3 linked regions of the Lytechinus pictus genome follow. The protein of the gene in region 1 purifies or fractionates together with the protein of each later gene. This does not show direct contact. Links are inferred from orthologs where the notes say so. Each region holds a gene or a part of one and is shown in the gene's direction. Other genes may lie near its edges. The genes, in order: activating molecule in BECN1-regulated autophagy protein 1-like; 60 kDa heat shock protein, mitochondrial-like; serine/threonine-protein kinase Nek9-like.

Evidence for each region.
Region 2: the proteins of activating molecule in BECN1-regulated autophagy protein 1-like (region 1) and 60 kDa heat shock protein, mitochondrial-like purify together in Homo sapiens (affinity purification with mass spectrometry, with the first as the bait; 3 studies listed by BioGRID). This does not show direct contact. The link is inferred for Lytechinus pictus from reciprocal best matches to the Homo sapiens genes AMBRA1 and HSPD1.
Region 3: the proteins of activating molecule in BECN1-regulated autophagy protein 1-like (region 1) and serine/threonine-protein kinase Nek9-like purify together in Homo sapiens (affinity purification with mass spectrometry; 3 studies listed by BioGRID and IntAct, with this or other methods). This does not show direct contact. The link is inferred for Lytechinus pictus from reciprocal best matches to the Homo sapiens genes AMBRA1 and NEK9.

Annotation. Positions count from the first base shown.
Region 1 is NC_087253.1:10,978,182-10,986,208, reverse strand, and holds the start of activating molecule in BECN1-regulated autophagy protein 1-like, read left to right. Parts: upstream 1-4,889; 5' UTR 4,890-4,963; coding exon 4,964-5,095; intron 5,096-7,835; exon of another isoform or gene 7,836-7,925; coding exon of another isoform or gene 7,926-7,964; intron 7,965-8,027. UniProt on the Homo sapiens protein: Substrate-recognition component of a DCX (DDB1-CUL4-X-box) E3 ubiquitin-protein ligase complex involved in cell cycle control and autophagy.
Region 2 is NC_087257.1:28,129,867-28,137,424, forward strand, and holds the start of 60 kDa heat shock protein, mitochondrial-like, read left to right. Parts: upstream 1-4,438; 5' UTR 4,439-4,629; intron 4,630-5,920; 5' UTR 5,921-5,936; coding exon 5,937-6,128; intron 6,129-6,747; coding exon 6,748-7,083; intron 7,084-7,558. UniProt on the Homo sapiens protein: Chaperonin implicated in mitochondrial protein import and macromolecular assembly. Together with Hsp10, facilitates the correct folding of imported proteins.
Region 3 is NC_087251.1:9,672,010-9,679,421, reverse strand, and holds the start of serine/threonine-protein kinase Nek9-like, read left to right. Parts: upstream 1-4,186; 5' UTR 4,187-4,640; coding exon 4,641-4,796; intron 4,797-7,412.

The DNA of each region.
Region 1 (8,027 bases):
GAGGGCGGTTTATTGTTTTTATTATTTTGGTTTAAAAACTTTAATACATGATTCTATCTTCCAGGGGTATATTGGATATATAGGTACATGATATGAACTAGTTTATCTTAAATGTCAATTACTATTTAATTCTTTAAATTAACTGATAAAACACAGTGTACATGTATGGTAAAAGAGGCTGCTATGTTAGATGTTTTGTCCTTGTCTTGTATGAGAAATCATCCACTAATAAAAATGAATCGGGATATTCTTTAAATTGCACCTACATGCATTTGCAGTGTTTTGCACACAATCTGAAAGGCTTAAATTATGGATATCCACATTATAACATTTTTGAAAAATATAGAAATAGGAAAAGAGATAAACAAAGAAGAAGCAATTAAGGCATAGTAATATTCATTCTAAGTATCACGATTGTTAAAATATTGAATATAATTCTCTTGATGTGTTAAATAAAACATGCAAGTATATTATATAAAACAAACATAGAATTTGATTTAAATATACTTTAAGTCTTGCTTGAATTGAAATCAGCTTGTTGAATATGACTAAATTGTAAACACAAACTTTCTTGTTTCTTATTTTGCAATTTGAGTAGATACATAAGCTTTTCTCTATTTATTTTTCAAGGTTGAAGTGATCACTATGAAAATGGGCATTTCCTTGAAATGATAAACAGGGTATTTAGTATGTCTCCCCTCAATTTTATTATTTTTCTCAATGTTTACTTTATTTCATGAACTTTAACATCAATCTATGAGAGTTTAAGGGCATCACACATTGAACAGTAAGCAGAGGTGATCATGTCTGTGGGGTCCTGCTTGTGGAAACACAACATTTGCTCTGGGCTTTATTTCGTCTAAGATATAGGGTTGGGGTTGCAATTGGGTTTTATGCTAGGTTTAGGGTTCGGTTTAGGATAGGGTATAAGTAAATGCAGCATTGAAGTTGGTCATTTGATTAATGTTTGGAATTTGCAGCCGGAGCTAATGTCACAAAACTCCTGTTTGTTGGGGATTAGATATAATCAGGGTGACCAGAAATGGACAGTCAAAATACGAGACACTTCGATGTCTGGGGAGTGTTTCATCAACATTTTCAAGTTGTCAGATCTGGTAACTGTCGGATAAAATGGGACTTGTCGGATAAAACGTCCGACAAGTCCTTTTATAAAACACTCCCCAGATCAGTGGCGTAATGAGCTGAACTTTTATAGAATGCAAAATTTCCAAAAGGCTACAAGCGAGCGACCAAAAATTTGGGCATTTAAAAAAACCGACATTGGTAAAAGATGTTGACATAGTATGTAGACAACATATATTTCATCCTCATTTTTTCTTGCTATGTATTTGAGAAAAAAAATGGTAAGGTTTGAATATTGTCACATATTTTTGTGTTAAAAATCTTGAAATACTGGACAAAACGGCATCCTGGACAGGGTCTCACGGGACAAATGGCTGAATTACAGGACTGTCCCTTTAATTCCGGGACGCCTATGGCCTGTCTTACTAAGAGTTACGATTGATCCAATCAATCGCAACTATGGAAAGCCAGCAAAGTCAACATCATATACAATGCATGTTTGCTCAAATTTTTTCTAGATATGAATGTATATCCATAAATTCATTGATTTCTTGACAGTTCGGTTTGTTCTCCTTTCGTTACAATGGAAATTTTGCACATTTCCTGTAGAACAAATTATGACACTGATGGATTTCCAGAGTTGTTTGTTTTAAAAAAAATTCTAGATATAAATGTATCTCCATAAATTCATTGATTTCTTGACAGTTCGGTGTGTTCTCCTTTCTTTACAATGGACATTTTGCACATTTCCTGTAGAACAAATTATGACACTGATGGATTTCCAGAGTTGTTTGTTTTAAAAAAAATTCTAGATATAAATGTATCTCCATAAATTCATTTTGCACATTTCCTATAGAAAAAATTATGACACTGATGGATTTCCACAGAGTTACGATTGATTGGATCAATCGTACCTTTTGGTAAGACGGGGCCCAGGTCACCCTTGATATAATGGCCCATTTGAATTGGATACATGTTTTTAAGACATTCACTATTTTATTTTTTTTTGAATTTTTAAAAATACTTTGTTTGCTTTTCCATCATGATCCAGCAACCTACACAGTAAAAACGTTGTTTAAGATTTTATACAACGCTGTTTAAGATTTTATACAACGCTGTTTACTGTATGAACCTTACAGTATTTGTTTAACCGTTTAAACAATCATGTTTAATTTTTTGAAGATTAGATATTGAAAATTAAACTTTGTTGCTTAAGATTTAAACACTTATCTAAAATGTTTAAACAACTACTGTAAGGTTCATATAGTAAACAGCGTTGTATAATTATTTTTTACTGTGTATAACTAATTAATCTTTGTGGAGGAAACCCTGTCATAGATAGTAATATGTATGCTGTTCTCCACTTTAAAAAAAAATTATTTTTATGTACATGTATTAATGTATTATTTACATTGTATTTATCTTGTTCCTTGATTTTGTTTTTTCCAAAGAAGTAGACTGTATATAAACAGAGAGAGAGAGAGAGAGATGCATGTACAGTATGGCATTTAAGTTAATATTTGAGTATTTTTTCAAGATTTCTTGTAGGGGACCTGTTTCACAAAAAAAAAGATAAATTATGACAATTAAATGCCAGGTTTTCAGTAGCTTGTAACAATTGTAACTTGCCAGTGGAGGGTTTGTGAAACAGGGCCTATAATCGAATTGATGCAGGTACTTATTGGATTTTGATCTCAACATTGTTCAGACTCACACATGCCTTTGCATGGAGTGCGCTTATGATAAGTGCGCTATGAACGCCTAGCTTAGCCGGGTAATATAGGAGCGCCTTGAGCACCTAACAAGGTGGATATGTGCGCAATATAAATACCCTATATTATTATTATTAAGAGCGATTTTGCTGTATTATCTCTATGGTAATAAATATACTGTAAAAAATCCACAATTAACACTTGTTTTTGTTTTGTTTTTTTGCTTCTCAATATTCCATAATGACCTTGTGAGCTTAGGAAGGCATGTAATGAGTTGATTGCTCTAATTCTTTGATTTCTTTACTTTTATTCACACCTGCGGCCCGTCTTACAAAGAGCTGAGATTGATCCGATCAATCGCAACTATGTTAAACCAGCAAAGTCAACATATAAAATGCATGTTTGTTCAAAATATTTTCCAGATATGAATGTATATCCATAAATTCATTGATTTCTTGACAATTTGGTGTGTTCTTTTTTGTTTGCAAAGGACATTTTGCAAATTTCCGGTAGAAGAAATTATGACACTGGATTATGACACTGGATTTCCATAGAGTTACGATTGTTTGGATCGATCCCAACTCTTTGTTAGATGGGGCCCTGATAGTTGTTAATTGGAACTTTCCATTCAACGTTTTCTGTATTTCAGGCTGAAAATAATGACATCTCAAATTCTAAATAATACACTCTTAAAAATGTTGGGCAACATACACTGCATGTCCTCACGGTTACACTTCGTAATTCCGAAGGTTCTTTATTCCGAAGGTTCGTAATTCCGAAACACGTAAATTGCCTATACCTCGATGTTCGTTAATCCGAAAACGTAAAAGGGTTCGTTAATCCGAATGTTTGTGGCGTTATTCCGAAGGTTCGATAATCCGAAAACGAAATAAGGTTCGATGTTCCGAAGGTTCGTTAATCCGAAAACGAAATAAGGTTCGTTAATCATTTCGTTTTCGGACTAACGAACCTTCGAAATTACGAACCTCATTTCGTTTTCAGATTAACGAACCTTCGGAATTACGAACCTCATTTCGTTTTCGGACTGTCGAACCTTCGGAATTACGAACCATATTTCGTTTTCTGATTAACGAACCTTCGGAATTACGAACCTTCGGAAATACGAACCTTCGGAATAACAGAACCTTCGGAATAACGAAGCTTCGGAATTACGAATGTATGCGGTCCTCACAACTATTGGTTAAAACTTTATCCAATTCTGGTTAGTTTTAAACCAATAACGTGTGGTTTGGGTTACAACTACACAGTATTGGTTGAACTTGAAAACTACCCAAAGTTGGATAATTTTTTTAACCGATTGTTGTGTGCAGTGGCTGAGGTGCCGTGGCCGAGTGGTCTAACTTAAGGCGCCTGGCTATACATGGAAAGTCGACCCGTCCCCCTTTTGAGAAGCCAAATTACAGCTGAGAGTGGCTACCCTGGGCCGGGTAAAATTACCATTAAAACAGTATACCCTTCTTTGAAAGTGATCAAAGACCTTTTTTGGGGTTGTATTTTTTACTTGTAAGATTATTGCGACGAAATATCATTATTTGTTGTTAAAAACCCTTTTTTTTTTTTGGGGGGGGGGGCTTATCAAATTTTCCCCGGAAAAATGTGCCCCCCCCCCTTTGGAAAATCTTGGATCCACCCCTGCATGGTTATTAATTTCGCGTTTCGATGTCGTCGGGATGTGGGGGGTCGGGTGTCCGGACACTTTATATTTTTGAAGCCTTCTTTTTTGTCTTTGGATTACACTAAAAATACGAATTCAATACTTGTAATCATCTTCTATTTTGTTCTTTATATTATTTCCTAACATTTTGTACTAAAAATTGATGAAACTTCACTTGTAATTTTTTCCAAAATACTTTCTAAAATTGATCGTCCGGACACACAACCTGTCCGGACACACAACAACTGGGTATATTGTATATCTCCCAACCAAATGCAAAGCAAGTGTATTGTATTTGTACGTACGAATAGGGGTGTCCTCAGCAACAGTCACACCCTAAACACAAGTCCCGACCGATCAAAGCTATTGTGCTATCTTGAGCTTAACGGCACACGATACAAATCGATCGACTATTTTTGCGTTTGCGTGTGACTGTTTTGCCACGGTTGAAGCTGCTGCTTGCGTCTCCACCTAATCAAAAAAGAGGGACAAAATGAAACGCCCGAAATATTTATTGCGAGGCGTAAGAGATCGGGAAATTGGGATTAAAAGGAAGCCTGGAAGTAATGATATCCTTAGAAATTATGCAGATTTTATTAGTGCCAAGTATTCTTCTAAAATTGTGGTAAGTAAGACGAGCGTTTGTAATTCTTTGGTCCCGAGTGCTTGTTTTTATGTAGTGTTGACTGTTGGCCTTACGTTATTGCTCAATTTGACCAGTGGCACGACAAAAACGCGACGTTAGTTAGTATTTCCTGATATACAAAATGTACTCTAAATACCACAGACTCTGTTTATGATTTTAGGCTGATGAAGGAGTGTGAACCTTGGATTTTGGAACATGTTCTGTTTATTAAAATGTTATATTTTCATTATTTTTGTCTTCGGGTCATTCCACGGGGTTGGGGCAACAGCACTTTTTTGTGTTCCCTATGAATTGTTGGCTTTATCCTGAAAATGTGTTTGGCGCTTGGATGTTGCAATGTGGTTTTGTTGGAAGGCAGTTATGTAAGCAATTACTTGATGCAGAAATAAAAATGTTGAACCTCAAGTATTTTTGATGGTGAGACTTTAAATGATGATGTCCAGACTCTTTTTTGGGGTACCAAGTGTGACATCCAAAATGGTCATTTTCAGTTGAAGATATCTAATTGAAAGATAAACTTAGTCAAATTCAAATGGCCATGATTGATAAAGCAACATTTGTTTAATAACAAAACAGTAATGGGATAGCAAATGAAAAGAGGCTTCATATCATAAATCATTCCTACAACATCGCATACCACCGTTACATGCGATGTCCGCGTTTATTTTTTTCTGTAACGGCGGTAAACTGGTAAATAACTAAAAGTCAGAAATCATTCTTTCCAAAGTTATGTGTCAGAAATAAAGGGCAGGCAGTAAGCAACTTTTCATCAAAAGATTAGCTTTGAAAACCAATGTTAATGTCATGTAAATTAATCGAAGTTCGCCGATGTTTTGGGCGATGTCCGGGCCAAATTTGTAACGGTGGATCACATTTCATCGCGTATGTAAAAAGGAGAGACCGGAGAAGAGACCGTCGTTGTATCAGACGGACGGGATGTTAGCCGAAATCCACGTGCACATGAACGGCTATGATATCGGGTGTTATGCAGCATTGCAATTGGGAATCTTCCTGCAATGTCCGTGTAACGGTGGATTGGATCTCCACGATGTTTTCCCTTTCAAAGCGACGTAAGTACGGAGATTTATCCCGATACTCGTATTTTTAAATCAGTTAAACCTTATCTTAAAAATGTGAAACTATATTATCATGCAGAAAGTGTTTTTAAGTTTGAAAAATCTCGCTAATTTTCCATAATTTTTTACTACAGTCCCACATGTATCTTTTCGTGTAAGTGAAATATGTGATTGAGACATCGCCGTGTTTGTTCCAGATTTGCTAAACGGCCCCAAAGAAATAATGTTTTTATTACTGTGATTCCGTGCAAACATGTTTTGAATTTTAGCTGACATGATTCAATCGCAATTTAGTTGATTTTTTAAACACCGAAATATGTTATTTCAATAGGCCAATGGATACTCAAAACTGCTCTATCACCGATGATCATGCTGACATCTCAGATTTGGTACAAAATCTCGCGGCTTTCTCGCCTTGTTTAAATTGGCTCCTACTGATTCTACGTAATATGGGTATCAAAGACCTGATGATCAAATTTGAATTTCCCCCAAAAAATGAGAGTTTAGAACCAGTGGCAGCGCCACGGGGAGGCAGGCCCCCCCCCCCCCCCATTTTTTTTTTTTTTTTTTTTTTGCTTGTCAGCTGATCCCAATCCGAAAGGGGGGGGGGGCAAAATAATTGTTCTGTTACTACCCCCTACACATAGTACATGTGCTTTGTGTATGATGAAGCATGGCCATAATCCAATTACTAGTAATTCTTGGCTGTAGGCCTAACCTTCCCAAAACTTTTCATCTTGTTGAATGTTATACTTTTCAGCACATTCTTTTTTTCTCTCAATATTTTTTCAATATTTTGTATTTTGATTTCTATATATTAAATTGTAAGGAGAGGGGGGGGGGTTCGTTTTATCAGAAAGCAGAAGCCTGTGTGATTGTTTTCAATGTGATTTTTTTTTATTGCAATATAATGAGTTTTTTAAAACATGTACAAGTGAACAAAAGAAAATGTGACACAATCAAGTTTGTTTCACAAGAGTTTATTTGCTGTATCAGAAGGTAAATTGCAGATTTGAATTCCATTAATTCATTTAATTCCAATAAAACATACATATATTATGTAATTGCTTGAACAATTAAACTTCAGCGATGAAAATTAAATAGGATGGTCATAAAAAACTAAATGGAATTGTCTAGATAACCACCCTTGATTAGAATGCAGAATAAAATTAGATTAAATTAATCCATTGAGAAATGAAATTGAAGTACAGATAATTTATGAAAAGGTAATGGGCAAGTAATTATATTGTGAAAACAAAGTAGAACACAACAACACAAATACAAAAACCTTCTATAAAACGTAACTTTATATTTAATTCATGAACTATAAAATGATGAATTCTATTTGCTATGAAAAAATACAAAGTGAAGGTTCTTGTGTATTTTGCAAGAACAGATCAGATTCATTGTCCCTAGTAATCCACCCCCTTTAATGAGAAAATGTCAAGACATAAATAACTAAATGATTTGATATAATATAAAAAATATTTGCTTATTGCTTAAAAAATATAGTCAAACTTCCAAATACTATTTTTCTCAACTACAGGTAGCCTCTGTTCAAGGTGAAAATGTATATCTTCAGTACATGAAGTGTCAATCTGGTGACCTGTACTCCTGGCCTGATGGCGAGGCACAATTCTACCTCCATCCACTTTGTGACATTGACAGAATCCTCTTCCAAACTTTCTTATTGGGTCACCAGTCTTCTTGAAGTTCATAAACTTGTAACCTGAATGCAGAGAGAAATATTGCATGTTAATTTTAATAGTCAGGTTTAGTGTACAGTGTAATACATTTTTTTGCATTTGCCAGTAAGAAGTTTACCAAAGAGTTCT
Region 2 (7,558 bases), on another chromosome or scaffold:
ACTGGTTACCAAATTAAATCAAATACAAATACATATATTTGAAGATCTTTCATATAAATATATATATATGAAAGTCTATTTTATCAATAATGAACGCCCTTTACATTGGTATTAATAGACATATAACATTGCTTCTTTGTTGGCATGAGCAATAGTTAATGCAAATTCTAATTCATTTGTATCTATAGAAAGTCAACAGGGGCCTAAGCTTTCGATCCTAGCAGAATCTTCGTCGGAGGCAAAATTTGTAACTAATTAAATTCATTCCAACTGGAAGTTCCAATCGGATCCAGTTGGAAACCAATTAGTTTCAACTGGTTCTGGTTGAAACCAGTTGCCTTCAATTGGTTCCAACTGGAACCCCTGATTGAAACCAGTTGCTTCCAATTGGATTCAATTGGTTTTAATAGGGAAATTGGAACCAATTGAAACCAGTTGCCTAATTGGTTTCAACTCAACCAATTGAAACCCATTGCCAACTGGTTCCAGTTGCCCAATTGGTTTTAACTGGAACCAATTGGCAACTGGTTTCATTTGGAATCAGTTGTTCCAATTTCCCTATTGAAACCAGTTGGCCAACTGGTTTCAATTCGTTTTGCTCTAATTGGTTTCAACTGGATTTTGGTCCTGGGTGGGGTGACTTAATTTGTGCTAGCTCTGCATGAATTCACCCTCACTCAAGTTCCACTTCTATGATAGGAAAGGGCGATATAATTTATAGGCCTATGTTGAATATATCAAAATCTATTTTTTTTTTTGAGCAAAAGTCCTATATCCCAGATAGTCCGCTTACAATTAACTTTTAAATGGAAATAACACAGAATTTTAATGAAAAATTGAGATGTCAAGGGCAAGGCCCTACGTAGTGGGCGTGCTGGGGTTATCGCACCCGACCAAAGTGGGCGCAACTGAGTGGCGAGTCTATAAACAAAACACTTTTTTCCTCCTGCTTGTCAAATCATATTTTTCTAATCGAAAGCACCTCTAGTGAAAACCTTTATTTTTTTAGTCTCATTTATTTATTTGTTTTTATTCATTTATTTATTTATTTATTCATTTATTCATTTATTCATTCATTTATTTATTCATTTATTTATTTATTTATTTATTCATTCATTCATTCATTTCTTCATTCAATTTTTTTCTGATCAAATTCACCTTCATCAAGTTCTGGAGTGAAACTTATTTTTACAAATGTTCATTTGCTTGACTGTCAAAATTTTACAAGCCAGCACCCCATCTTAAAAAAAATCCAGGCCCCTGTGGCATGTCTGGCACTAAAGCTTAAAGGTCAAGTCCATCTAAGAAACGTTTTGATTTTAATCAAACAAGCATTATAGGCCTAATACGCTGAAAATTTCATCAAAATCGGATAACTTAATAACAGTTTCGCTTATTTTTCACAAAACAGCTATATCAAGGAGTTATACAGTGATATCTCCTTGGTATATGCACAATCAGTGATATGCAAATTAGAGAGTCGGTGATGTCTATTCTCACTATTTCGTTTGTTTTGTATTGTTTGAATAATACAGTATTTCCATTTTTACCGATTTATATTACTGAACCAAAAAACATAATAACAATATGGTATACCACATGAGCCTCGCGGGGATATAGGCCTAACTTTTTTTCGCAGGACAATGAGGCTAAAATTAGAATATTTCATATAATAAAATACAAATAAATAGTGAGTGGGTGATATATGTCATCAGTCCCCTCATTTGCGTACCGACCAGGAATGTGAATATTGTTTGTGAAACTTAAACGAAACTTATAAATGTCATTTCTATTTCTTATTTTACATCCAAATTTGATGAAATTTTCAGTGTTATGCTTGTAGGGGTTTTCTCCTTTTATTCAAATCAACTTTTTGTTGGGGTGGACTAATTGTCCTTTGAAAAAATGCCGCATGGGAGCATTTCCCCGGGCACATTTCCAGTCACTTAAATAGTCTCCCAGCACATACTCATATTTGACACTTATAATTCAACCAACCATGTCTAGAATAAAGACTAGATGCCAAACTCTAATCTTTGTCTAATGTTGCACAAATTTATGAGTTAAATTATAAAGAGAAACTAAAAAGAATGGAGCAAACTTTAAACTGCTGGCGAACTAGAAACCTTTCTCTAATTGGTAGAATCTGTGTTGTCAAAACTCTTATTTTGCCACAGTTAATCTATCTTTTTTCTGTTCTTTCTGTTAAATTACCCAGAGCCTTTTTTAAAGAATTAAATAAATTATTTTTTAAATTTATTTGGAATGGAGGCAAGGATAGAGTTCAACGTAAGATAATGTGTAATGATTATACTCAGGCTGGACTAAAAATGATTGACCCTTTTTCTTTTGCATGTGCTCAAAAAATGGTCTGGGTAAAACACCTATTGGATGAGAATTTTGATGCTCCATGGAAAAAGATTGAAGTAGCCTTTTTAGAAAAAATTAATCATGATATTCAAATTTTGTGGAAATCTCATGCTCCTGAGAGCATTTTAAACAGTCTTGGTAATATACAATTAGCTGAAGCATTGAGAATGTGGTATTCATTTAGGGAGGAAGCTGCTGTCGAATGTTATGGTAAACATTTTTCAGATTTGAGTGGTTGTCAACTCCTGTGGTATAACAAATTGATTCGTTCAAAATCTAAACAGTATCTTAATTATCCAATGTGGCATGAGAGAAATGTATTAATGTTATCTGACTTATTTAATCCTCCTCTTTTAGGTCACAAACTCTTTGAAGAGCTTGTGTTAGATTTTGGAATCCCCCAAACAGACAGAAGGAAATATAATTATTTTACTTAAGTGCATCCCTGAAGAATGGTTGGTGAGTTTTGACCCTGATATTATTGGTGTTCATGAAACAATTGTACATAAATTGTTGAGTTATAAAAAAGTCCCTAGACATTCATACATTTTATTTAGGGGATCACACACACCTGACAAAAGATACTCTTATTGGGATGAACGTTTACCAATACCAGTATCTATCGATTGGGAAAAGGTACACTACACAATTTTTTTTTGTACCATTGATACTAAATTAAGATCTTTCTATTTTAAGATTTTTCATAAAGCCATAGCATTAAATGATTTTTTGTATAAGATTAAATCTAAGGATTCACCCAATTGTGTTTTCTGTGATAAAAGTGAGGAAACAATTATCCACCTGTTTTGCGAATGTGAAAGGGTAATTCCTATTTGGCAATCCCTTTTAACGAAAATTTCCCAAAATAATGTTCAAATAAATGGTTCTAATTTTGAAAAAATGTTCGGACTCTCAACTGATAAGTTCATTTCATACCTTTTTTTACTTTTGAAGTATTATATTCATACATGTAAATTTAAGAATAATCCTCCAAGTTTTGCTCATTTTAAAACATTTGTTAAAAAACAACAAGACTTGGAATATTTGATAGCTAAGAAAAAAAATAAGTTGCCCGCTCACTTTAAGAAGTGGCGATTCACCTTATAATTTGGTTTTAAAAAATGTCAGTATAGGTTACATGATAACTAACACTGTATATTTTGTATAACAGGTTTAGTGTCCCATTTTTTTATATAATACTGCACTGTATTGGTTATAATTATGGTTGTAGACATCAGATCCCATTTTTTCATGCAACTTGTATCTCAGTCACCTTGATATACTTATTCGTTTAAAAACCTCCATAATTATGTCGTCTTGGATAACCAGTTGTGCTTTTTAATCCTATGAATAGTTGTTTGGAAACCACTTCATATAATCATAGCTTGTATATTTTGTTTTGTCTACTTTATTTACCAAATCACCTATCTTTGTTTAGATAACACTGATATTAAGTCATCGCATTGCCACATTCCTTTTTTTTTGGGGGGGGGGGGTGGGGGAGGATAAGTGGGTAGGTTTTTTTTTTTTTTTAAATTATTATTATGGTTGTTATTTTTTGTGTAACTAAATTGTGTTTATGTGATTTGCAATCACCTATTAATCATTTGTAAATTTTGTGATTTATTTCAATTTGTATAATAAAAACAGAATTATTAAAAAAAAAAGTCTCACTACTTCAGACTCTGCATTAAGCACTAATTGCGCAAACTAATTCTGTACCTGCAGACTATACCTTTTATAGGCATGTCTTTGAATGAATTTAGATAAATGACTAAACAGAGTCTAACATCCCATCGGTTGTGTTCTAATCGATTACATATGACGGTAGAATTCAAGGGTAGCCCTGTAACCTGTATGAATATAAAATTATGAAAAACTTCTTGATTTTAAAGCCATAAATTGCTCCCACTGTCCCATCATTGAATATTGTAGATATCAATAAAAATAAAAAAGCCATAACATCATTTCAAAGCAATCAATTCTACGTTTAATTTACCCAATGAGATGTGTATTTATTTGGTTATGTGGGTGCAGGGCACTCGAAAATGTTTAAATGCCCTTGATTATGCAATATTCGTGCGTGCGAGGCTTTGATGCAGCACGTGCGAACATTCGAGATTACACGTGCGCGTGCAACCAACGTGAGCTGGTTTACCGGCATTTGTCACTGATCTCAGCCGTAACTCCCCCGAAGACCTGCCCTGGACAAACTGGTGGTGTAACTTAACAAAATCTCATCTTCTATTTACATAAGGCGTAAGTAAGATTTTATTTATTAATGTAGCTTTGTTCTTTGAACGCATAGGCACATTTTAGAAGTCAAATTAGAAGTGAAGTGTGCCCCCAACAACATTCTTTTTAAGTTTTGTTTTTAATTTCTGCCGAATTCTGGATGTCTGAACTAACGTTAGTCTGACTCTGATTCTGAATCTGAATGCTCTGTCTTTCTTTTCTATTAATGTTAGCATGGTTAGTACTTATTCCACATTTCTTTTCACAATTTAAATGTCATTTCAACACAAGTTCGATCTTGCAATCTTCTGTTTCTTTCAGTTTCAACCAATATTATTAGTACATATTGTCGATTGTTATCATAGTACAAGTACAAGCATGACTGATGACAAGCATGACAAGGACAACTACAACTTACAAGTACAACTACAAGACAGACAGTTTTTGTTGACCAAAACTAGTAACAAGCTTCGGTCTCTGTAATACTAAAAGGCTTAGGCTAATTGTTGATAAAATAATTTACTTTCCCTACGCAAATTCCGATTTTACTTATATCAGGGGCCGCGGAAGCGGGGGGGCTGGACCGGCTTCAGCCCCCCCCCCCCACTTTTTTCCAAAACCGTGTACAAAAACGTAAAAATGACCATATGATTGTGATTTTTTGCGCGGTCAGCCCCCCCACTTTGAAAACCGTTCCGCGGCCCCTGCTTATATAACTACAGTATCAATTTCTATATAGAAATCGGTAAGTAATGATAATTTACTTACCAAACGGACTTCTTTCTGCTCCAAACATAGTCCAGATTGGACCTTGGTGTTTGGAAGTTCTCTTTCCCAAAGCTAACATAGAGGGCACATGAGCCACTGATCTTCTCTGAGTCTGAGCAATGAATCAGCGCCATCTTCCCTGAGGAGGGAAGATGAGTCCGTGGATTGGTGCTGATTAGAGAGTGGGAGTCATGTCATGTGCCCTCTATGCTATGTTAGCTTTAGGAAAAGAACTTCCAAACACCAAGGTCCAATCTGAACTACTCCGAACATCGGATGTCTTCGCTTAGCTGCGAGCGACTTTGTTCTGAAAACGAGTGCACGCACGTCAACAGCACGCATTTCCAATACAATCGGCCGATATGTCCGATGTTTGGGACCACCCCTTTATCCACCACTGTTGCTTAGGCATGCCTCAGCAAACTAAAAACTGAAGCCAGGCAGTGCTTGGTCAACTTTAGTTTATTTTAGTTGGTTCAAAATTTTCACAAAACAACGAGCTTATAAATGAACAAGGTAACATTCTCACTGTCTTCCTTTCCTACAGCACTCAAGCTTCCATCATGTACAGACTATCCAGCGTCCTCCGACCTTTGACCTCCCGGGCCCTGACCCCATCAGTAAACAGAGTCGTGTGCCCACATCTTGCCAGAAGCTATGCCAAGGATATCAAGTTTGGTGCAGAGGCTAGGGGTATGATGCTTCAGGGCGTTGACCTCCTTGCAGATGCTGTAGCAGTCACAATGGGCCCCAAAGTGAGTTGATGGTCAATAGGGGGCAGGGGTTTCTTAGTTTGGTGGGAATTTGCCAGCATTTAAATTTAACTTCAAATTGAAGAGACAGCAATGAAGAAATTTTTTTTCTTGTACAGTTTGTTATACATGTATGTACAGTGCTGTGGGAGATCTATTGTGCATCTCCGGGCTTTTTGAGCCATACAAAACAATCCTTTGGTTTGTTTGTCACTTATCAGCCTGTTCTTGCTTGCCATAAAAAGATGATTTTTTGTTGTAGCAGATAGGTTTAATCAATCAAACAGCCAACTGATTCCTGCTGTAAGTCAAATAACCTTCTAAGACAAAGCAATTTTTCAGGATCAGATGATGAGATCAGATAACTGATAATCTTTTCTTTCTGTGCTTAATTGTCCTCCATCTCTATACAAAAATTGTATAATTTATTTATGTAGGCTAATGTTAAAAGAAAAGTGCTTCACTGCCAAGGTGGCTTCTTTTGTTTGTTTGTTGTGTGTATGAACAAGTTCACTTGTTCCTCAAGAGCTATTGAATTAACTAAGTTTTCCAAAATCTTTGTCCTTGACTGCTCGTTCTACTTTCTTCCATCATGCTAACTTTCCCTTTTTGTAATTGACAGGGACGTAATGTAATTATAGAGCAAAGCTGGGGTGGTCCTAAAATCACAAAAGACGGTGTCACAGTCGCCAAAGCCATTGAACTCAAAGACAAATGGCAGAACGTTGGAGCTAAACTTGTCCAGGACGTTGCAAATAACACGAACGAAGAAGCCGGGGATGGAACCACGACAGCAACAGTATTGGCACGAGCTATCGCCAAGGAGGGTTTTGATAACATCAGCAGGGGAGCCAACCCTACAGAAATCAGGAAGGGCATTATGAACGCTGTTGATGTCGTTGTTAAGGAGTTACAGAGACAGTCCAAACCAGTTACAACACCAGAAGAAATTGCACAGGTGAACTGTCCTACTTGTTAAATACCTAATTAACCCATTGGAGACTAGCAATTTATACTATGACATATTTTCTATGGACCCCAGCCCACATTATGCAGCTTCAGTCTATATTGGGTTAACAAAACTTTACTACTCTGTATTTCAGATATAAATATTGTGCTGTTTGGAATATATCATTTGTGCTATTTTCAGTAGGTTGTACAGTCAAGCAATATTTTACTTTGCCAATGCTGCTTTTGAAGAGGAAGAAATTTGGTATTTCCAGTTTACAAATCAAATTATAATAAAGTAAAATAACAGCCTTTATGAGGCAACGATTATCAAGTTGCTTTTTCAATTACGCACTCTATCCAATCAGTTATAGGTGATAGTCGTGAATTGAATATTTTCTAGTTGATAACGATCAGGGATGTAGTCAAGGCGGGCCTTAGCATCAGCCTTGTGACATGGAACTATCGCTCGCTTCTGTATCCCT
Region 3 (7,412 bases), on another chromosome or scaffold:
CTTTTTTTTTAAATTTATTAGGTATCACTTTTTCTCCAGAATAATAATGTCATTAAACAAAATAATGGCATCCTTTCAAGTCGAATATTATTTTTTTGCTGAATTACCTGCAGGTACAGTAATGAATGCGATGTTTAGATTCTTCTGTTTCGCAGTAGCCTCAAGTTTTGACCACTAATGAGGAAGGGAAAATAAAAGTTGGTCTTTGAATAAAAATTATGTCAACTATAATGCAATAAGAATGATAGTCATTAATTCTCATCTAAAAAGAATAAAGACAAACTAAAAGAATCACTTTAGTTTTAGGCACTTGGTACTTATTCTCAATTATATTACAAATGATGTTCATTGATAACCCAGCCTGTTTCATAGTATTAAAGGATATGAAAAATATTAAAAACATCCGTGTCTCAATAGAGCAGCTGTTTATAAGCCTTTTTTTAAAGGGGAGAAGAAAATAAGAAAGAAATACGAGTATTAAAAGATGGGTTAAATGGAAATGAAATAAAGATCAAACAAGATAATTTTGCTTATTTCTATATTCTTGAATTTTATCGGTATTTCATTTAAAGACGTATTTGTTATTCATAAATATTCTCATAAATTAACTATGATGTTAGATTAAAAGAAATGTAATTCATTCAATATAATTTCACAGAGGAATCGCAACAAGGTGAATTAGACCCATCACGAGTTTGATTGTTTTGAGAAAACTGATTTGCTTTGTATTTTCGCGGATGTTTTGACTCATCACTGTCAAAATATAAAATCTTTGAAAAAGACAAAATAAAACTATTTGTGTTGAAAAAAAAATATCGGAAACAAAGGTTCAACATAGGTGAATACCCATAATAATCACAAACGTGCATTATCTTTGACTTAATAGGCCCATTTGAGAGATGTGATGTCAATATAACATGAAATTGCACAAAGTTTATCCCTTACAATTGTCTTAAATGACCAATCAATCTCTAGATACTCTGTAAATCTATATGAAGAGTTATTTTCAAATTACAAATGACTTAACCCGAGAGGACTGGGGACCCTGATGCCCCCTCGACCCTTCCCGCGATATTATTGTGACTTTTTTCTTGAAGTCTCGCGCAGCTTTTGAGACCAAATTCGCGACATACGGGTATTTACAGCGTCACGACGCCACGTGAATTTTTCGAGACAATGTCATGCCGAAAATGGCTCCTTTTTATACTTTGTGTACAAAGTCTATGGGAGATCAAATTCGTAAAAGGGTGATTATTTTTGTTCTAATTGGTCTGCTAAATTAATATATGGTTTATTTTAGTTGTTAAATTGTCTGTAATAATTTCCATTGAAAAAACAAACAATGAAAAACAAAAGATGAAAAAACAAGAAATACATAAGAGATTCTAAAAACAAAGAAATAGATAAGAAAAACATTAGATTTCGCGATTTTTCTTTGTGGGAAAATTTACATTAGATTACAAAAATGACATCTGGAAAAAAAGAAGAAAATTTGAAATGAAATTGGGTGTTAAATTTGCAAATAATGTTTTCAAGATGATTTGCATTACTTATTTAGAATAAATAAAAAATTATTATTTTCAGAATATTTTTTTATACTGGCTTAATTGTAGTGGTAAGGAATGTGCGTGCCAAATTTCGGCGCGATCGCGCGAACGGCGGCCGAGATCAGAAGGGGGGGGGCCATCATACACCCCCATCCTCAATACATCTCAAATAGCCAATTCCTTTTAGGGTTAAGAATTCAAATATAAATCCAGAAATGAATCTGTGATAATCACGGCAGATTTGGATACATTATTACTGAAATTAATAAAAGAAGAAATTAAACCAACTATTCAAAACGATATAATGGCAATACCTGAGAATCAAGTAAAGAGAGTGCTGTCTGGAGTGAAGATAGTGCATCTACTACAGCAATGTGAGCAAGATCCTGAAGGGATTTGGCGGATTCTACCAAATCCATCGTCTGCGGCTGCTGTCCTATCATCCCGTTGATGCACACAAACATCACCAAGGCAACTCCCGCCAAAAACTTGAGAGAAGCATCCATTTTCGTTCCGATCTCACAGACTTTAGTGAAAAGCTTTGATGGGTCTGCTTGCGTGCTTATTCAATAGAATCTATCGTTTCTCTCTTATTTATATACCATAAGGTGGCAACCTTCGCCCTACTTGGTTCTGAAAGTACATTCCCGAGGCCTGTTGCCCATCACCTTAATCTGCGTGCTATCGGAGACTTTTATCAGTTCAATTATAATTAGGAAAAGAGAAAGCTAACTTGTCCTTAACACGTATCAGGCATTGACAGGTGCACCGATTTGGAAACAAGTGCAAGGAAGAGTGATTGAAATGTTGAAAGTTCCTCCTTACTAAAGTACAATCACAATTAATAAACCATTGATTGTTTTTTACTTGGAAAAACGAAAAAAACATTTATCCATATCTTTCCTTTGATTATTATACTCACTATTGTCAACTTATTTTTCATTTAGAATTGTTAAGGTGTTATATATGAACCTGGGAACAGCGCACATCAAATCGACTATTGAGCAGTATAAGCTCATTGAACTTGAGTAGGACCTATATAGAGAGCTTATTTGGAATTATAGAGCAAATAGAACTAGAGTATGATATGGAGTACAGCATAATGAGCACATAAATTGCTAATAGATTACACCGAACTTGAGTAGATGTAAAGGCTTAATAAATTAAAGTGGACTCAAAACAGTGTTCAAAATGATAGGATGCACGAATTTTCACCAAGTATATTTCAAACTGCCTTCAACTATTACGATTTTTTTATATATATAGAAGGGGGGGGCTTGAGAACCATGGCTCCAAAATGGGGGAAAATAATTAAGTGCATTTTGGGGAGAATATTATTAATTCGAAATCGGTTTCCATACGCTATGACCGGGTTGTTGAAAACTGCTATATAGTCAAATGCTCATTTGGTGAAAAGGCTTTTGCTCAGTATGAGCACTCCCATTTTGTAGAATGTACTCTCTTCATTAACAATGCCAATGCCAAGTCTATGGAGTTATTCATAGGCAACCTTAACCCTAAGAGGACGGGGGGGGGGCATGATGGCCCCCTCAACGCTTCACGCGATATTTTCGAAACGCAAAAAGATAGCGCCGCAAACTTTTGTGACTTTAATTTTAAAAGTCTCGCGCAACTTGTGAGACCAAATTCGCGACATACGGGTATAGCATCGCGACGTCACATGTTTTTTTACGAGACAAGATATGTCATGCCAAAAATGGCTCATTTTTATACTTTGTGTACAAAGTCAGTAGGAGATGAAATTCATAAAAGCGTGATCATTTTCGTTATAATTGGCCTGCTTAATTGAAATAGGATTCAATTTAGCTGTTAAATGGTCTGTAATAATTTCCATTGGAAATAAATGAAAAACAAAAGATAAAAAACAAATAAAGTCATAAGAAATTCTAAAAACAAAGCAATACATAAGGAAAAAAATTGCCTTTCGCAATTTTATGGAAACTTTTTCATTAGATTACAAAAGATGACATCTGGAAAAAAGAGAAGAACTTATTTGAAGTGAATTTGGGTGTTAAATATGCATATATTTTTCATGAATAAATTGTCATATTTTATTAAAAATAAATGAAAAATAATTATTTTCATTCTTGTTTCATACAGGCTTGTAGTTTTTGTGGTAAAGACTTTGCGTGCCAAATTTCGGCGCCAGCGCGATCGGTGGCCGAGATCAGAAGGGGGCGGGGGGGGGGGCATCATGGCCCCCCATTCTTCAATACATCGTAAAGACATATCTATTCTCATCATATTTCAAATAACACTCACCTTCTTTGTTTTTATTCTCTCTGCGTCTCTGAATATGAAACTAGATAGAAGGTGCATTCTTATCATTATTATTATATGGTCTCTGGTGGGGCCTGTTGCATAAAAAAAAAACTCTGGCTTTTAATTTTTTGCCATAGTTTTTCAATGTGTTAATGTAAATGAAATAATTTGGTTTGTCAGTTTGTTTTGTTGTTGTTATTTATTTGCAAGAGTCTCTATGGCAAAACTTGAACGAAACCCCTCGGATGCTGCATGTATGGCTAACTGATATCCGACACTCTCGACAGCTCCATCCTGCAGATCGTGTTCATCAGAATTCGGATCGACATATCTTTGATGCTGGCCGAATCGAATTTGTGCACGATCTACAGGCACTTAGACGACTTATTGTACCCATAGAGATGTATACTAACTACGTACTGATCTGTGTGTGTATCATAGAGTTAACTTAGGTTTATAACTCTATGGTGTGTATACCGGTATTTGTATACCGTACCGCTAGCTGAGCTTCGTTTCGGATCTTTCGCAGCGAGCTAGCTAGCTAGCTCTGCTTAAATCGACAGCGGGAGCCTGCCTCCGAGTTCCGCCCTACCGACGGCCGAGGCACATCGAACGACCGATCATTCGTACCGCGGCGTAGCCAAACTGTCCCCCCGAGCTTACTTACTTAAGTTGTATTGTAAAAAAATTGTATGACACTGAATGTGACAGTCCTTCTCAAGACTCAAGCCAGCTGATGAGTTAATACTCCTGAGCCTGAGGTCCCCTCTGTTTCATTTTATTGCTCCAAAATCAGAGAGACGTTCAATAATGTCTACAGAAGATGGGGGATTTTCCTCCTCGAGCTCAACAAATTTCCTTGCCGGTGCAAACAGCAGTGATACGATACAGGAGGAAATGTACACACCTGTAAGAGTGCTTGGAAAGGGAGCTTTTGGTGAAGCAGTTCTCTACAGGAAAACAGAGGTGAGGTTTTATTAACGTTAGAGAGATGCATGGACCATGGTCACTCATGATGGATATGATTATGAAATATGAGACGTAGTTGAGACCGAGAGTGTGTAGTTGAGAGTAAGACTTTTTTTACTTTTAACAGCAATGCTATTGCTACAGACAGTTAGTTAGAATAGAGATCGACTCACTTTATTAAAGTCTAACGTTAAAGTCCAACCGCGTAGCCAGGATTTCATTTTGGAGGGGGCGGTAAATGCACGCGAAGCATACCAACACTTACAGAGCGCGCGATGCGCGCTCCCTAGGGGGTGGGTGCAGGGAGGGGGAGTTTCCCCCTCCCGTGCCGAAGCTTTCGGTGTTTCATAAATTAAAATAAAAAGGAGCCGCATCCCTTGTCTCTAGTACCTATATCAGCTCCAATTCATTTGACTATATTGTGATTTTGAACCTTGTTTTCAAAAGTGATTGTAAAACAAACAAAAAAGGGATAAAATGGAGGAAATTTAAATAATAATGAACCCCGCGCGAAGTGCGGAAGCTAAAGCGTTTTATAATTTTTTATTGCAAAGAAAATGGTCCCGAATTAAGGTTATTTTCTAAGTTATATTGAATACTTCCCTTGGAAAGATCAGATTTGATTACAAACAATATAGCGACAGTGCATATCTTAAATCGCAAAACAGAGGAGAAGAAGGATATATGCCGGGAGGAAGATATTCCTCCCTGCGCAGAGCAATGAAACTCTGAAATTTCAAAGGGCGGACGTTTCATCAAATGCAGATATCTCTAATAAATACCCCATCAGCTCTAATGCAATTAATTTTCTAAGATTATTGAACTTCATTAAAAGGAAAATAGTGCGCAGAAAGTTGAAACTTCTGTGATTATTGAAATTATATAAAACAGGATGATGTATAATTTCTTTCACTTATCCTGATGCGCTTCACTTTGAATGATAAAGAAACTTATAGTGTCATTCAAAATTTCAAACTGAGGGTGCAAACAGGACAGGAGATGAATTTGCAGGGAAATGACATGAAGTTGAATAGAATTTGATAAAAAGATATTGTACTTTTTTTTAATTTAATACGACACAAATTTTATACCTTCCTCTTTAAATTAGGAACCTGTTTGCCCCCAAATTATGGTTGTTTAGTAATGAGCTGAAAAGCGGGAGAAGTTGCCTATATGGAGATGACGGCATAAATTGAGATAAAGATTTTACCCGCCCGGAGCTGACCCGATCAGAAGTTGCGCGATCAATTAAGAAAAAAAGATAAATTCATATACTTCGGCCTAACCTTACTCTAATTCTATGCCCTAATGTATACATTTGAACTTTAACTGGCAAGAAACACATATAGCTGAGGTGGAAAAACAGGGTTAGAGAAAGGGTGAGGGAAACAAAGGAGAACTGCCATATTGTCATTTAACCGCGCACAGCGCGGAAGCAAAATTCATATATATATATAAATTTAGAGCAAGAGTCACAGAGTTGCTTTTTGGAGAAAAAAATAAAGAATAAAAAGAAAAACCCACAAAGCTACCTTTCTTCCCTTTCCTCCCTTCGCTTTTCCTTTTCTCCTCTCTTTTCCCTTCTTTTTTTTTCTTTTTGGGGATGTTTTTATTTGGGGGGGGCGACTGCCCCCACCGCCCCCCGGCTATGCGCCTGTTAAAGTCAAGAGTCTAGCAATAGTCTAGATCTAAAAAGTTAGAGTGATGAGATTGGGAATGAGTTCTGTGAGCTTGTGAGTGTGAGTGACTGCTCATTCTCAGACTCACAGACTTGGCCCTTCCAATTTCTACCCATGAAAAACTTTGGCCATCTAAGTTGGGCGAAATTTAAAGCTCATTAAGCTTGTTGTTAAATGTTGTTACGATTTAGCTTCAAAGGATTTAATGATGAATTTCAAATAAATGATGTAACCTTAACGTTATGATGCGTACAGTAGTCCCCAAGTCTGCTCCCCTAGTAACGGTTTCAGTTGAGATTTAACAAAAATTTCTGTTTATTTCACAAATTCTTTCAGTTGATTATATGCCTTATGTGCCAAATATCTTGAAAGAAATAGGCCTATAGAACCTTCATGTACATGTATATAAGTTTCTTAGAAAAAACCTTGGGCAGTCATTTTCAGATTGAACAAAAACTGGTGCCCCATGTCTGCGCACCCATTCACTTTGCACGCGATTCCAGCATTTTGATGAGAAAAGCTGCATTTTAAGGCCTTCACATAAAATGCCCCAAATTCATTATTTTTCCACCATTTGAGTAGAATTTTTAACAATATCTGTCTGTGTATTATTATATGCAGGTGTAAGGTTGACGGTCGTTGTGTATCTTCTTTTACTGGAATCACGCAGATACACTGTACGTGTGTGCACACACAAGGGGGACAGTGCAGTCTTGGGGGACCATACCATACCGTATATTTTCATCATGGTCTTTTTAGGCCCCTTTTTGGATTGTTCAAAATTTTAAAGTGGCAGCAACAACAACAGCAAAAAAACTCTTCCAGCTCCATTTTACTTGTTGGCCTCTTATTAGCAAGTTAAATTAAATTTTAAATTGTTGGTGGTCTTTTACACTACAGTATTATGTCTTTCCATAACACTCTATTTTTCTGT